2 linked regions of the Tribolium castaneum genome follow. The protein of the gene in region 1 purifies or fractionates together with the protein of each later gene. This does not show direct contact. Links are inferred from orthologs where the notes say so. Each region holds a gene or a part of one and is shown on either strand. Other genes may lie near its edges.

The links. Proteins that work in one complex are often made in the same cells at the same time.
Region 2: the proteins of zinc finger-containing ubiquitin peptidase 1 (region 1) and hyd purify together in Homo sapiens (affinity purification with mass spectrometry, with the first as the bait; 3 studies listed by BioGRID). This does not show direct contact. The link is inferred for Tribolium castaneum from reciprocal best matches to the Homo sapiens genes ZUP1 and UBR5.

Annotation. Positions count from the first base shown.
Region 1 is NC_087399.1:5,856,651-5,863,410, forward strand, and holds the end of zinc finger-containing ubiquitin peptidase 1, read left to right. Parts: intron 1-1,226; coding exon 1,227-1,428; intron 1,429-1,489; coding exon 1,490-1,935; intron 1,936-3,977; coding exon 3,978-4,548; intron 4,549-4,700; coding exon 4,701-4,745; 3' UTR 4,746-5,229; downstream 5,230-6,760. Other genes in the region: sialin, read right to left, coding at 6,447-6,760. UniProt on the Homo sapiens protein: Deubiquitinase with endodeubiquitinase activity that specifically interacts with and cleaves 'Lys-63'-linked long polyubiquitin chains. Shows only weak activity against 'Lys-11' and 'Lys-48'-linked chains.
Region 2 is NC_087398.1:9,887,063-9,893,589, reverse strand, and holds the start of hyd (E3 ubiquitin-protein ligase hyd), read left to right. Parts: upstream 1-2,124; coding exon 2,125-2,320; intron 2,321-2,397; coding exon 2,398-2,517; intron 2,518-2,565; coding exon 2,566-2,816; intron 2,817-2,863; coding exon 2,864-3,133; intron 3,134-3,182; coding exon 3,183-3,462; intron 3,463-3,510; coding exon 3,511-3,618; intron 3,619-3,839; coding exon 3,840-4,107; intron 4,108-4,159; coding exon 4,160-4,379; intron 4,380-4,426; coding exon 4,427-4,793; intron 4,794-4,859; coding exon 4,860-5,876; intron 5,877-6,137; coding exon 6,138-6,273; intron 6,274-6,393; coding exon 6,394-6,527. Other genes in the region: E3 ubiquitin-protein ligase hyd-like, read left to right, coding at 134-334, 419-585, 707-1,073, 1,221-1,402, 1,452-1,633, 1,684-1,956. UniProt on the Homo sapiens protein: E3 ubiquitin-protein ligase involved in different protein quality control pathways in the cytoplasm and nucleus. Mainly acts as a ubiquitin chain elongator that extends pre-ubiquitinated substrates.

The DNA.
Region 1 (6,760 bases):
GACTCCGAAAAGGCGAAAGTTTTCTGTCTGATTTTGTAATTTTTTGGTATGCTTTTGATGAAATTTTGTGAAAGAATTGCTTTTATGGCTGAAAAACGAGTAAAAACGCTAAAATAAAATAAAAACAGTGCAATTATCTGCTTAATTTGGTGATTTTTTTGACATATTTTAGAGAAATCTTGCAAAATTACTAAGATATTAAGCTTGAATAGGCTAAAATAACTCAATTTCTTATCAAACTTTATCTTCTTTTGGGTTAATTTCCAAATTTCCTGATATTTTAGTTGAAAATGACACCATTTTTTGACTAATTTTGTGTTTTTTTCGGTTTGTTTTTTAAATTTTGTAAAATAATTGCGTTTCTACTTGAAAAAAAAAAAAAAATCGAACATACATGCTAGACAAAGTAAAAACAGTGGAATATCTACTTAATTTTGGATTTTTCGGCTTATTTTAGAGAAATTTAGTAAAATTACTAAGATATTAGGCTTAAAAATGTAAAAATAGTTAAATTTTTTATCAAATGTTGCCTTCTTCTGGGGTAATTTTAACAAAATTTTTAAATAAAATTGGCATATACATAATGTTATTTTCGATCTATATTTGTTGTTTTTTTTTTAACCTATTGTAGGCAAACGTAATCATATTCAAGTACATAATTTTCAACAATTTTTCGATATACCTATCATGGAATTATTCGAATTTATAATTAGAGTTAGCTTTTGTTTTTTTTTTTGTGAATGATAAACTAGTGCAATCTGAGGGAAAACTGTATTCTAATTAAATATTACCGTTCGAAATTTTATCATTCGACTTCCCAACTTGATTAATAAATTATGATAATCACCGTTTTGAATCAAGTTAAAAAAGTATGAAAACTTATTGTAATTATTAATTCAAATGATTACATGATATTGTCACATATTCAGAAATGGGATTAATTTAATTTAATTTAATATTAGGTAACAAATGAGAATATTTTGAATCAATTGTCTTCGTGGTGTTTCATCTTATTTACTCAAATTTTGTATAAAATACTAGCTTTATTTCACTCATAAAGTTATAAAATTAGCTTTTGCGAAGTGGAGTAAAATAATACAATTTCCGACTTAAATTTTTCGCCGTATTAGAAGGAAATTTCACAAAACAAGTGAGTTTTTGGCTCACAATTTGATAATTTTTGGACGTAGTTAGGCCTCGGTGGTTAGTTTCTTGTTTTATTTTAGGCGGCATTTTGACGTGACGTCGCCTTCGATGGGGGGCACCACCAGCGAGATATACTCGTGTCCCTTATGCGTGAAGTCGTTCAATTCGGCCCCCGACTTGGAGCTCCATGTCAACATCGAGCACCGTGACGTGCTGTCGCCTGCCAGTCCCCCAACACATTCGTGTCCCGTCTGCGGTATGAATCTAGACAACGCAAGCAATGTAAATTTTTTGCCTTGTCATTCCATTCCATGGTAATTTTTTTTTCTATATTTTTCTGTAGAGTGAGAGCGCTGCTCGTCACGTGGAGAGTCATTTTCCGGCCACTTCGCCTCAGCCCGCCGACAGAGCAGCGTTGCGTGAAAGGGAGCAGCGGGAATTCGAAATGTTGAGGGCGCAGTACGGCATGGACAACCAGGGAAACTTCAGGGAACAGTCCGTTACGAACATGCAAAGAGCTGTGTACGCGGGCGAGATGAGTGTTGCCGATTATTATGAACGTACGTTGGATTTGAGAGCGGCTGAAAGTTGTGGGATTGACGATGGGAGCTCCATAACCAGGAGTATTGTGCCTAGAGTTCGAGCCATTAGCACTACTGCACCTAATGTGGTCCGAACTTTACTCTGTACCTGCGTTGATCACTACGCTTCATCGTATGGTGATAGAGGCTGGGGCTGCGGATACAGGAATATGCAGATGTTGATATCAAGTCTGCTTACACACACTGGGTAATATTTAATTTTTCTTGAAAATATTTTTTTATGTAGTATTTTTGACTAATAGTTCAATAACATCAAAGAACTATTCCTTATACCGAACATTTTTTTTAATTCGCCCGTAAAACTACGGTTTTTGGGCTTATATTTTTATGTAGTCAAGTTATTTATAGTTTGATGACGTTATTTTACACAAACTGATGGACTAGAATCCTAAAACTTGCGTAAAAATGTAAAATAATTTATACTAAATCAATTTTGTGATTTTTGGTTTAGGAAAAACTAGCTTGGAGAGCTTGAAAACGTACTTAAAGGCTTTAAAAACGCAAATATAACACCGTTTTCTGCATAATATTGTGATTTTATAGCTTGTCTTTGACGAAATGTTACGAAATAATTACGTTTCTGGCTGTAAAGCGGGCAGAGATACTCGAAAAAATTTAATCTTTACGTAATTATCTTCTTAATTTAGTGATTTTTCGGCCTGCTTTAGTGAGACTTTGCATTATTTTTGAGATTTTAGACTTGAAAAGGTACGAAAAATACAAGTTATAATGAAATTTAGAGTATTTTTGGTTTAGTTTTGACGATATTTTGCTTAAAACGTGGCAAATTAAGTAAAATTTGGTGATTGTTAGGCTTGTTTTTAGGAAAATTTGCCAAGTATTTAGTTTGTGGCTGAAGCACGATCATAAAGAAAATGCAAGTCTTCCTATTTTTTGATCTATTTTAACAAACTCTAGCAAATTTACTGATTTTAGTTCAAAAATGTCTTTCTTTTTCGTTATTTCTGGCGAAATTTTGCTCAAAAGTTTGTCAATTTAATTGTGTTTTTTTGCTTTGTTTTAGTGAAAACTTGCAAAATTACTGTATTTAAGTGCTAAAACGTTATAAATTAAGTGAAAGTTTAGTAGGTTTAAGAAATTTTGCGAAATTTTACTGTTTTCGGATGAAAAACTATCATAAACGCTCGACAAAGGAAAAACTTGGGCTTATTTTAGCGAACCCTCGTAGTATTACAAAGATTTTAGTGAAATAATGTGCTTAAAGACTTGTAAAGAGTAAATATTTTATTCTTAATTTTGTGTTTTTACCGCTTTTTTGACGATTTTTTGCGACATGTCTGCGTTTTTGACTAAAAACGAGTGAAGATTCTCGATTTCCAACCTGCTTTAATGAAATCTTAATAAAATTACTGAGATTTTAGACTTGAAAAGATAAGTAGGTAGTACATTTATGAAGTTTTGTGTTTTTTTAGCTTATTTTTGACGAAACTTTACTTAAAAACGATTTTTAGGCTTGTTTTTAATGAAAAATTTGCCAAAGTATTACAGTTTTGAATGAAAAATCATTTGCAATGCTCGAAAAAATCAAAAATTATGGACTTTATTCAGTTTTCTGCCGGTTTTGTTTGCGAAATATCTGTAAAATTACTCAGATTTTTGTTCAATAATCAGCTGAAAGATTGGTAAAAGGTAAAAATTAGACCGTTTTTTTTAATATTTTTGTAAATTTTTGTTTTTTTTTATAAGAATATATTTCTGAAATAACTATCAAGAAAAAACGTTCGAAAAAAGTAAAAATAATGTAAATATCGACTTCATGTGGTGATTTTTTCAAACAGTTTTAGTATAATCTTGAAACATTCCTGGCATTTTAAGCTTGAAAACGTAACAATAAAACAATTTTTTATCAAATTTTTTGTTTTTTTTTTTCGCTCATTTTTAAACAAATTTCGTTTAAAAACTTGCTAAATAAAATAAATTGAATGATTTTTCGGTTTATTTTAGAGAAATTGGCTGAAATTATTAAGATTTTACTTCAAACATGTGCTTAAAGATTTGTTGAAGGAAAAAATAACATCATAATCTTCCTAATTTTGCGATTTTTTGGATTGTTTTTGACTAAATTTTTCGATATATTTTTCATTTCTGCAGTAGGAACGCTATAAAAAAGCGAAAATAGTGGAATTACGGTAGTTAATTTATTTGGCGTTATTTTGTTTCTCTTTTTTTTTTTTTTAATTTTTTGAAGGCAATTTGTAAAAATTTCAGATACAACGAACGCTTATACAAGCTATGGCAGGGCCAGAAGCCGCCCCGCAGTTCCGTTCCGAGCATATCCCGCCTCCAAAGCCTCATCGAGCAGGCCTGGTCCCAAGGTTTCGACATTCAGGGTTCGGAGCAATTAGGTTGCCGTCTTGTTAATACTCGCAAATGGATTGGAGCCACCGAAGTCGTCACACTCTTATCATTTCTCCGAATCAAATGCCAGCTGGTAGACTTTCATCGGCCGACAGGCCCCGGCGGCACCCATCCAGAACTCTTCACCTGGGTGTTGAAATATTTCGAAAACAGCGTTGGTGGTGAGTTCGTTCCACCACTGTATTTACAACATCAAGGTCACAGCCGGACCATCATGGGCATCGAGGTGCACCGAGACGGCAGCTTGATCCTTCTAGTGCTAGATCCGAGCCATTCCCCCCAACAGATGGCGCAGTTTGGCGACACGAACAGCTCAGCTGTGGCTTTGCGCCTTTTGAGGAAAAGCGAGGCGGCCATGAAAGCGCGCCAGTACCAGATTGTGGCAGTGGTTGGAACTATCGACTCGGAGCAGCAATATCAGGTAAGTGGCTAGAGTACGGAGAGCTAAAGGTTAGGATACGAAACGGACAAATAAAACGTCCCGTCAATGTCGACAGAGGGCGCAGAGCAATGAATTAAAACGTTTCGTCTCTTAAGTTATAACACACAATATAGGAAGCAATCTCTTTGCAGCAAAGTAAAATTCTGAGGGGTACGAGAATACCGCAGGACCGGTGAGGTTACCCCGTCTCGTGACCTAAAATTATGAATATCTACTTTTCACCACCTCTGCTGTTCATATATTACTAAAGGGAATTTTGGAGTGTGCCCTGGCCACGCTGCTATTTATTTTTCAATCATCATGGCCTCGAAACGTCAATAAAGTAGATAGAATGAGCTTAGATTTGATTTTTAGTTGGGGAATTTCGTTCCCTTAGATCGAGTGATTCTTGAACAATATTAAAAAATTACGACAAAAGTGTTAATACTGTTACAAAATAACTATTTTTGACCAAAAGATGAAGTATCATTTTAGTCAATTTATTCAAGTACACTGTTGTAGGATTTTTGTCCTTAAAACGCTTGTTACTATTATTTGTGATACGATATTTAAGTTTTTTATTTATTACTAGTCGTAGGTCCATTTTGTCACTATTGAATTTTACCTCTATTACACGAATGTACAAATCGATTTAAAAAATCATGGTTTATTAAAGATTCACTGCTGTGTTACTCCCCCAACCGTCCCGATCCAGTGCACTTTGAATCCGAAAATGCGTGTTTTCATTGGCCGATAAGCGAAGGCTTGCTTCTGACGTCACAATGATTGATCACCCATGATATGCACTATTCAAAGATTGAGACGGTAAACAAACTACGCATTGATATCAGTGGGTGCAGGACTGGTATTGAAATGATGAAACACGTGACCGACTTGCGTTTGACAAAACAGGGGAAATTTTGTTTTTTTGCGACACAAGGCTGTAAAACCGGGTACATTATTATGCAAATTCGCGTGTGTAACAATTTGTTTTTCTTAAATCATGTTTTTTGAATATCAAAACTGCTTTGTAATGTATTGTGTTTTTTAATTAATGTCAAAAGGTCGGGAGCGATTCTATTATAAATATTTTATTTTTCGTATGCAAATCGTTCAGATTACGCTGCACAATTTCAAAGCGGAATCGAAAACTTTACAAGTGTTACATTTGTGTCATTGTCATTCCTCCGTATAAATAGACAGATGATGGGTAATTAGGAAGGATGAAAAAATACGAATTTAAATTAACGGCCCTAGTTATTTAAAGTCAAGGCCGAGCTCATTTGGCAACTAATGAATGTTTCTCTAATTTACGAAAAACTGTTACAACAGTACAATCTTTTTTACAGTATAATAAAAATATTTTTTAGTGCTCTAAAGTAAATTCAAACCTACTGACTGCGCCAATTATTTGTTTGAAAAATACTGCAACCAAGATGAATTAGGACTAATTTATTTTTCGGTTTAAAAAAATCTAGTCACATCAAATTCACACTGTATATCTGCTTATTTTGAGTGAAATAAAGCAAAACTACGTCGAGATGAGGAACTTCGGTCGCGTTCCCTTGGTCCAAAGTGCCCAAAAGTTGAAATTCATCCATAAACAAAATAAAATCGCGATAAAGCCACCGCTTGATAAACATTAAAGTATTAATAGAGATGAAAATAAACAAGTAAAGGGTGTTGGTTTTTGCGTCAATCCACGACCGCATTTTATCACTCCGACTTGATTGAGCTGTGATCGATTGCAGCGACCCCTGAAAAGTCACGAAGACATTACCACACCGTTATCACCACGAGGAAACTTTCCAGGTCACAGTTGCGACACAAAAACACTCGGATCGTCAAAAATTTATTTAAAAAAATCACAATATGTACAAGTATAAAAACAGTAAAAATCACGCTAGCACCTCCTTCTCGTTCCTCCTCAACGGCTGCATCTCCTTCTCCACTCGCACCTCCTCGTCCGCAGAGTTCCACTTCTGTAACTCCCCGGTCCCCAGTAGCAGATAAACGAGGGCCCCAGTGGCGTACGTCCCGACTAGAATCCAGAAAACGTACCGCCACTGCTCGAAAGTCTGCTCGTCTTTGGTGAGGATGGCCACGATTTTGGTCGACAGCCAGCCGCCGAAGGACGAGAGGGTGTTGGCCATGCCGAAGATCGTCCCCGAGAAGTTGGGGGCGATGTCCAGGCCGTTGGAGAGGTAGCCGG
Region 2 (6,527 bases), on another chromosome or scaffold:
TTAGCGTTTTAAAATTCCGCCATAACAATACTTTTTTGGCGAACTTTTGGTGGGGAAACATTGATCTAGATAATAGTACTTCTCTCTAGTAATGATCAAGAATATAGTCTGTACCTTCTTTCTGTTCTTTTAGACTGAAAGAAGTAGCTGATAGAATCAACCGCCTCGGCCACACCTCGCACCCAGGTCTGTCCAGCCTCCGTTCCGGTATAAAAAAAATCTGTCTCGGCCCTTCGTTTATCGCCCTTCTTCTCGACGATGGCCGTGTATGTCGTGTTTCCTACAACGTCCTCTCCGACCGTTTAGACCTCAGCAAAAATGACTCGACTAAAAAGTGAGTATTTGACGCACAGTGTCGTCGTTGTGTCCATTTTTAACACTGTGCCTTATTAAATCTGTTCGTTTCCACCAACCAAAGACCTTGGTTGTTGCGTAGTTCCGGTGGCGGTGCTACTGGCGGCTCAAGCGGTGGTGCTGGCGGTGGCAGCGGCAGCAGCAAACCCACCGGAAGCGGAAGACAGATGCCCAGGACCAGGGCCAGGATTATGCGCTCGAATACGGCCATCAGAGGTGGAAGCAATAGCGGTGAGTTTCTTCCTCTGTATTTCGTTCATATGAAGATTTAGTGTTTGTCCAGACCCTTTTCAGGGCAATATACTTGGTTTAACTCTGTCGTCCTTAAATGTACAGAGTCCTTTACTTTCAGGCGGTCGTGGTGCTCCGGTTATCATAGGAACGAGCAGTTCGAGCAGTGGAAGGCCGATGGTGACGGTGCCAGCGCCCTACGTCCCAGAAGAGCTGGTTTCGCAAGCTCAGGTGGTGCTTCAGGGGAAGAGCCGGAATTTGATAATACGGGAGTTGCAACGCACAAATCTTGATGTTAATTTAGCCGTTAATAATTTATTGTCGCGCGATGATGAAGAAGGAGAGGAAGGAGACGATGCAGCTGATTCTTACGTTCCAGAGGATCTAATTTCGCTGCTTGACGGAGGGTTTCATACCGATCATTCGGTGATAATCGATGCTGATGCGATGTTTTCCGAAGATATGTTTGGATATTCGGGCATTAGGAAGTAAGGATTTTTGGTTTGATCTGTTTGACTCGCTTTTTGTGTAGTTGCGCTTTTTTTGTTGGTTAACAACTCTATCGCTTGCATTTTTTTCTATTTTTTTTGCATTTTAACTAACTCGTTGGGAATGTTTGACTTTGCTCAAACAAGCTTCCTTAATAGTCGCGGCAGTGGAAGGAGTCGATTGGCCGACAGAGATGCACCACCGAGCAATAGTTCGAATTCAGATCGAGACAGAGAGAATTTTTCGAGGTGGAGAGATCGTCAGTATTTCGGACCTAGGAGGTGGCTTGAAACGGCACTAAGGGAAAGTCCGTACGAAAAAGATTCAGGTTGGTGCTAGTGATTTTTATTGAATACGACATTAAATACCAAATTTAGATCACAAGAAGAAAGACAGCGCGTGTCCACTTTGGATTTCCGACGACTTGGAATTTTGGCCCGATTCTGCACCGAAATTCGTCCAAATTGCGAGTCTCTACTCGGAATTAATCGCATTGTCGAGTAACGGACAATTGTTTCAATGGCGTTGGAACGACCCCGAACCTTACAGACATCCAGAGGTACGTTCATAGACACTTGAAACCAACCGAAATGCATTTATTCGTTCCAGAATTGTAACATACATCACCCCAAGACAGTTCCTTTGGGTCTAATGGGCGAAAAAATCGTCCATCTCTCGGCTTGTTGCACCCGTTGCTCGGTCTCAACCGAAAGCGGCAAAGTCGCCACTTGGTTAGACGAGCTTTTGGCGCCAGCAGCAGCTAAATTGGAACATTCAGCTCAGGCCTATTCCGAGTTTCAAACTGACAAGGTTGCAGCTTTGTACACGTGTCCGTTGTACACGGTTGCGAAGCTTGAAAGTGGTGCTTTGTACTGGTGGTGAGTATTGATTCACGTATATTATTGACCCATTTTGCTAAAAAAATTGATTAAAGGGGCGTTTTAACCGTTTGCTCAACGCAAACGATTGTGGGAGAAATACCGTACAAAGTGCCGGAAACAAAGACCTTCAAACAATCAATCAGAGATCGTTACTGGGTCGCAAGTTTGTATGAAGAACAGTCCCATGTATCAAGCGGGTGCGATAGGGTTTACCATCGCCAATGGAGTACCAAAAGTGGGCCAATTACAGAATGCGGCTTGGACGTTGAGCGATACTTGCACTTTTAAGATTATCAACGTGCAAACGAGTGGAGCTTCGAGTGCCGATAAGGGGAGAGATGCCGTGCCGGGCCCTAGCGGGTTATGTAAGTCTTTTTTGATATTTATAAACTATTTTATCTGTACTGGACTTAAATGTTTACGGGGTTAATGTTCGTTGCAGCGAATTTAACAAATAAAAGTTCGTCGAATAAAGAAAACGCCGATAGGCTTGATATGCCACCGCCACCATCGCCGGCTTCGAGTACTTGCAGCGATACCGGAAGTATTTCAAACAGTCACAGTAAGTTTTCTACAGTTATTGTAAAACCAATTAATAAAACAATTAAAGAGCGCCAAAAACGCATGACCGTGTCTGGGAGCGACACCGGTTCGGAGCAAAGAAAAGACGAAGAGGAGTGGCTTCTACGGAATGTAATTTTCGTGGAAGATGTACGAAGTGTTCCAGCAGGTCGCGTTTTGAAAGTGGACGGTGCTTACGCCGCCGTCAGATTTCCAAGTGGACATTCCAGAGATCGTGACGCCAAAGATGCCGACGATATTTTCCAAGATTGTCGATTGATGCGCAAGGACGACCTCCAAGTATGAACAATAATTTGGTTTCGGTCAAAATTATTTGTGTTTTGTAGGTGATCAAATCGTCGTCTAATTCACGCGTTCCTGACTGTTTTCAAAAAACACCTCGACGTATCCAAATTTCCGACAATAGCAATCAAATTCTCACGATTGCCGTTGATGGACAAGGCATACATGCCATAGTTCGGAACGGGAGTAAATTGAGTTATGTCGTTTACAACGTCAGTAGCGGAAGAATTGAACAAGATAATCCATTTCCGAGCGACACTGCTTCGTTCATGGGGCTCTATCCACATTTGATCAACTTGATTTGTGCTGGAGAAGTATGTCGTTTGTAGTGTTTGCCTGATTGTTACATTGTTTGTATTTCAGAGTTCTGAAACAATTTTGGTTTTGCGCGACGGTAACAGCACGATTTACCCCCTCAGTAAAGATTGCGCCGATGCGATTCGCGACCCACAATGTCTAGACTTGCCTCCAGTCAAGTGCCTGACAGCTGGTACATTTGGTTTGACTGGAACCGGCCTCAACATGAAGAATCAAGTGGCTATTGTTGTCTTTGCACTTGAACAACAACTACTCATGCCGAAAATACTACGTTGTGATATTGATGGCGTCCGGCAAGTTTTGGCCCAACTAGACAGCGATTTGAGTAAGTTTTACTATTTTCCCGTGTGATATTGTGATGAAAAATTTTCAGAAGCCAACATTTCGAATATCTTAAACGAACGTTGCGACGGCAATCGTAACATTTTCCACGCTGTTGTGAACATGTGTACGCCGACGTCGAACAAGGAAACTGAAAGCGGTGAGTTGGCCAAATTTATGCTTTAGGTGATTACGTTAGGCTCAAGTCGCGTGCGTAGCTTGATTTGTTGGGATCGTCATTTCCAGACCCGTCAGCTGGCCTGGAATGTATCAATGTGATAACGAACGCCGTAGGCCCTCGATCAGTTACGCTACGCGATATGATGCGTAGAGCCGTTGTACGTAGCGAAAGCGCACTCAACAATACTTCTAACTCTGCAGATCAGCACAGTTTCGTCCAAGAAGAACCGATACCGACACACAGTTGGCCACCGGAAAGCTTCGATGTTACGTCAGGCGATGAGGATAGTCTGATGGGTTTGGGAAGCAGTGCTGCCAATAATAAAGGGAGCGGAAACAACAGTAACGCACCGACGAATCTCGTCGTCGATCCAGTTGAAAGACGATCAAACGCGATGCAAATCTTACACGCGCTTTTGTATGATTCCTCGGCTTTGGAGTCGCATCTCATCGAGCTTTTATGTGCAAAGTAATTTTTTTCTCTGCGAGTTTGATTAAATAACCATTGGGATTGGTTTTAGGGATGCACAAGGTCAAACTCCGTTCATGTTGGCCGTATCGTCGCGAAGTTATCCAGCCGCGTTGGAAATTTTCGAAAGAATCATTAAATTGGGGACTCCTCAGGAACGCGAAGAGATGATCTTTCCGAAAGGTTCAAATCCGGATCACTCACCTCTGCATGTTCTGTGCTGCAACGACACGTGTAGTTTTACCTGGACTGGGGCCGAACACATCAATCAAGTAAGACATGGTACGAAAAAAAATAGTTTTTGTAATTAAAATTGTAGGATATTTTTGAATGTCGCACTTGTGGCCTCACCGGAACGCTTTGCTGCTGTACGGAGTGTGCGCGTGTTTGCCACAAAGGCCACGATTGCAAGTTAAAAAGGACTTCGCCTACGGCTTACTGCGACTGCTGGGAGAAATGTAAATGCAAAGCATTGATAATGGGGAACCAAACGGTCCGTTACGAACTTTTGACACGTTTGGTTAAAGAAACCGATCTCGTCTGTTTGCCGAATTCACGCGGCGAAAGTATCTTGCTGTTTTTGGTCCAAACTGTTGGTCGACAAAATCAAGAACAGCGACAGTTTCGTCACACCAGGCCCAGGACGGCATCGGCAAATTCCCGAAATAAAACACCTTCTTCAGATAGTGAGACTCTTTATTCTTATTTGACTCGTATTAACTGTCCGTTTGTGTATTCTCCTTCTGTTTCAGTTGAGACCGATATGCCCGAGCATGATTTAGAGCCTCCCAGATTCAGTCGTCGAGCTTTGGAGTGCCTTTTAGGCGACTGGAAAGCCGTTCAAAGTATGATAATGTCGGGGACTCGAGACGTTTCCGAAACACAATTCACCGAACAACCTTACGTCTCCAAACAGACCGGAACGGCACTTTTGGATAAATTCTCCTTGTGTTTCCTTGTCAAATGCCAAATGGTAATCGACGTACTTCTCGAAACCTTGATCAGAGAAATGAAAAATCCAGATGCGAAACAAGCCCAATACGCCACAATGGTTTCGCGGCGATTCGTCCGCTCAGTTGTGCGTATTTTTGTCGTTTTTTCCATCGAAATGGCACCGAACTCGACGAAACGACGCAGTTTAAGCAACCAAAACCAACCGTTGACTAAATGTCGCAAAATATTCCAAGCTTTGAGCAAACTATCGATTGAGGAGCTGTGTGAGAGCGCTGACGCTATTATGGCACCGGTTCGATTGGGCGTAGCACGACCAACTGCCCCCTTTTCACTTGCAACATCCGTAAATGACGTTCTAAACGGATCGGAAGAATTATTCCTAGTTGATCCTTTAGCACCGTCGAGTTCACGACCTTCTGGGTCTTCAACAATGCCGCGGTTTCCGTTTTTGGCCGAAGCTGTGCGAAGAGCGGCCGCTAATGCACGCGATCTGGCAAACGCTCGCGATTTATTGAATTTGAATGATGGTGAAAGTATGGCGATTGATAATGACGATGATAATGCGTCCGAACATGAGGATGTTCCCGCTGATCGTGAATTGCCAATTACTGTTAGACAGTCGTCGACTAATGAAAATGAAACGGTCGAAGCTGCTCCGTACCAACAGGAAAGTCGAATCCAAGGCGAGGAAAGCGATCCCGAATTGGATCTGTTGGCGGAGACGGAGTCGGATAGTGATGATAATCATAGTAATCAGGATGCTGCATCTGCACAGAGGTCGGTACAGACGGGAGCAACGGCCGGATCTGATACCGGTAAGTCAATTTGATTGGTGGAGAGAAAGGGAGAGAGTGAGGAGCTAGCTCATACCTATATTAATCTATACTGCAAAAAAAAGACATAATTTAAAAAAACAATGTTTCAAACATCGCATTATCTTAATAACGTATTGCATTCAGCAATTTATTTCTTGTGTGCCGACGATACACACAGGGTCTAAGGCAGTATATTTTAATATAGGCGTGTGAGAGCGGGTGGTTGGTTGCATGTGTATGCAATTCTGTGTAACTTATCAGGAGGTATGCTGCTGTTCCCGGAAGACGAAAGCGGCGAGTCAAGCCAACAGGAAGAGGAAGAGAGCGAAGCGGGCGAAACTGACGAACAGGACACTGAAGATTATACGTTGACGGATGAACAGTTGGAGCGAAGAAGGTAAATTTGACAATTTTTCTTAGCATTTTTCTTCAAGTAATTTATTTTATTATGATTATTGGCTCTTGATTTAGTGATGTTTTTTGTGTTTCTCATTACTCTGATTATTGTCTATGAAAGAAGCCGTTACAGCAATACGACCGGTCATGGACAGAGGAGCAATTTGGCCCCGCAGAATATGCAATGGGCAATACGGTCACGTGAAGCAAGCAGATCGGCTGGTGTTCGATTGGCCAACGGTTCTAATTTAGTTT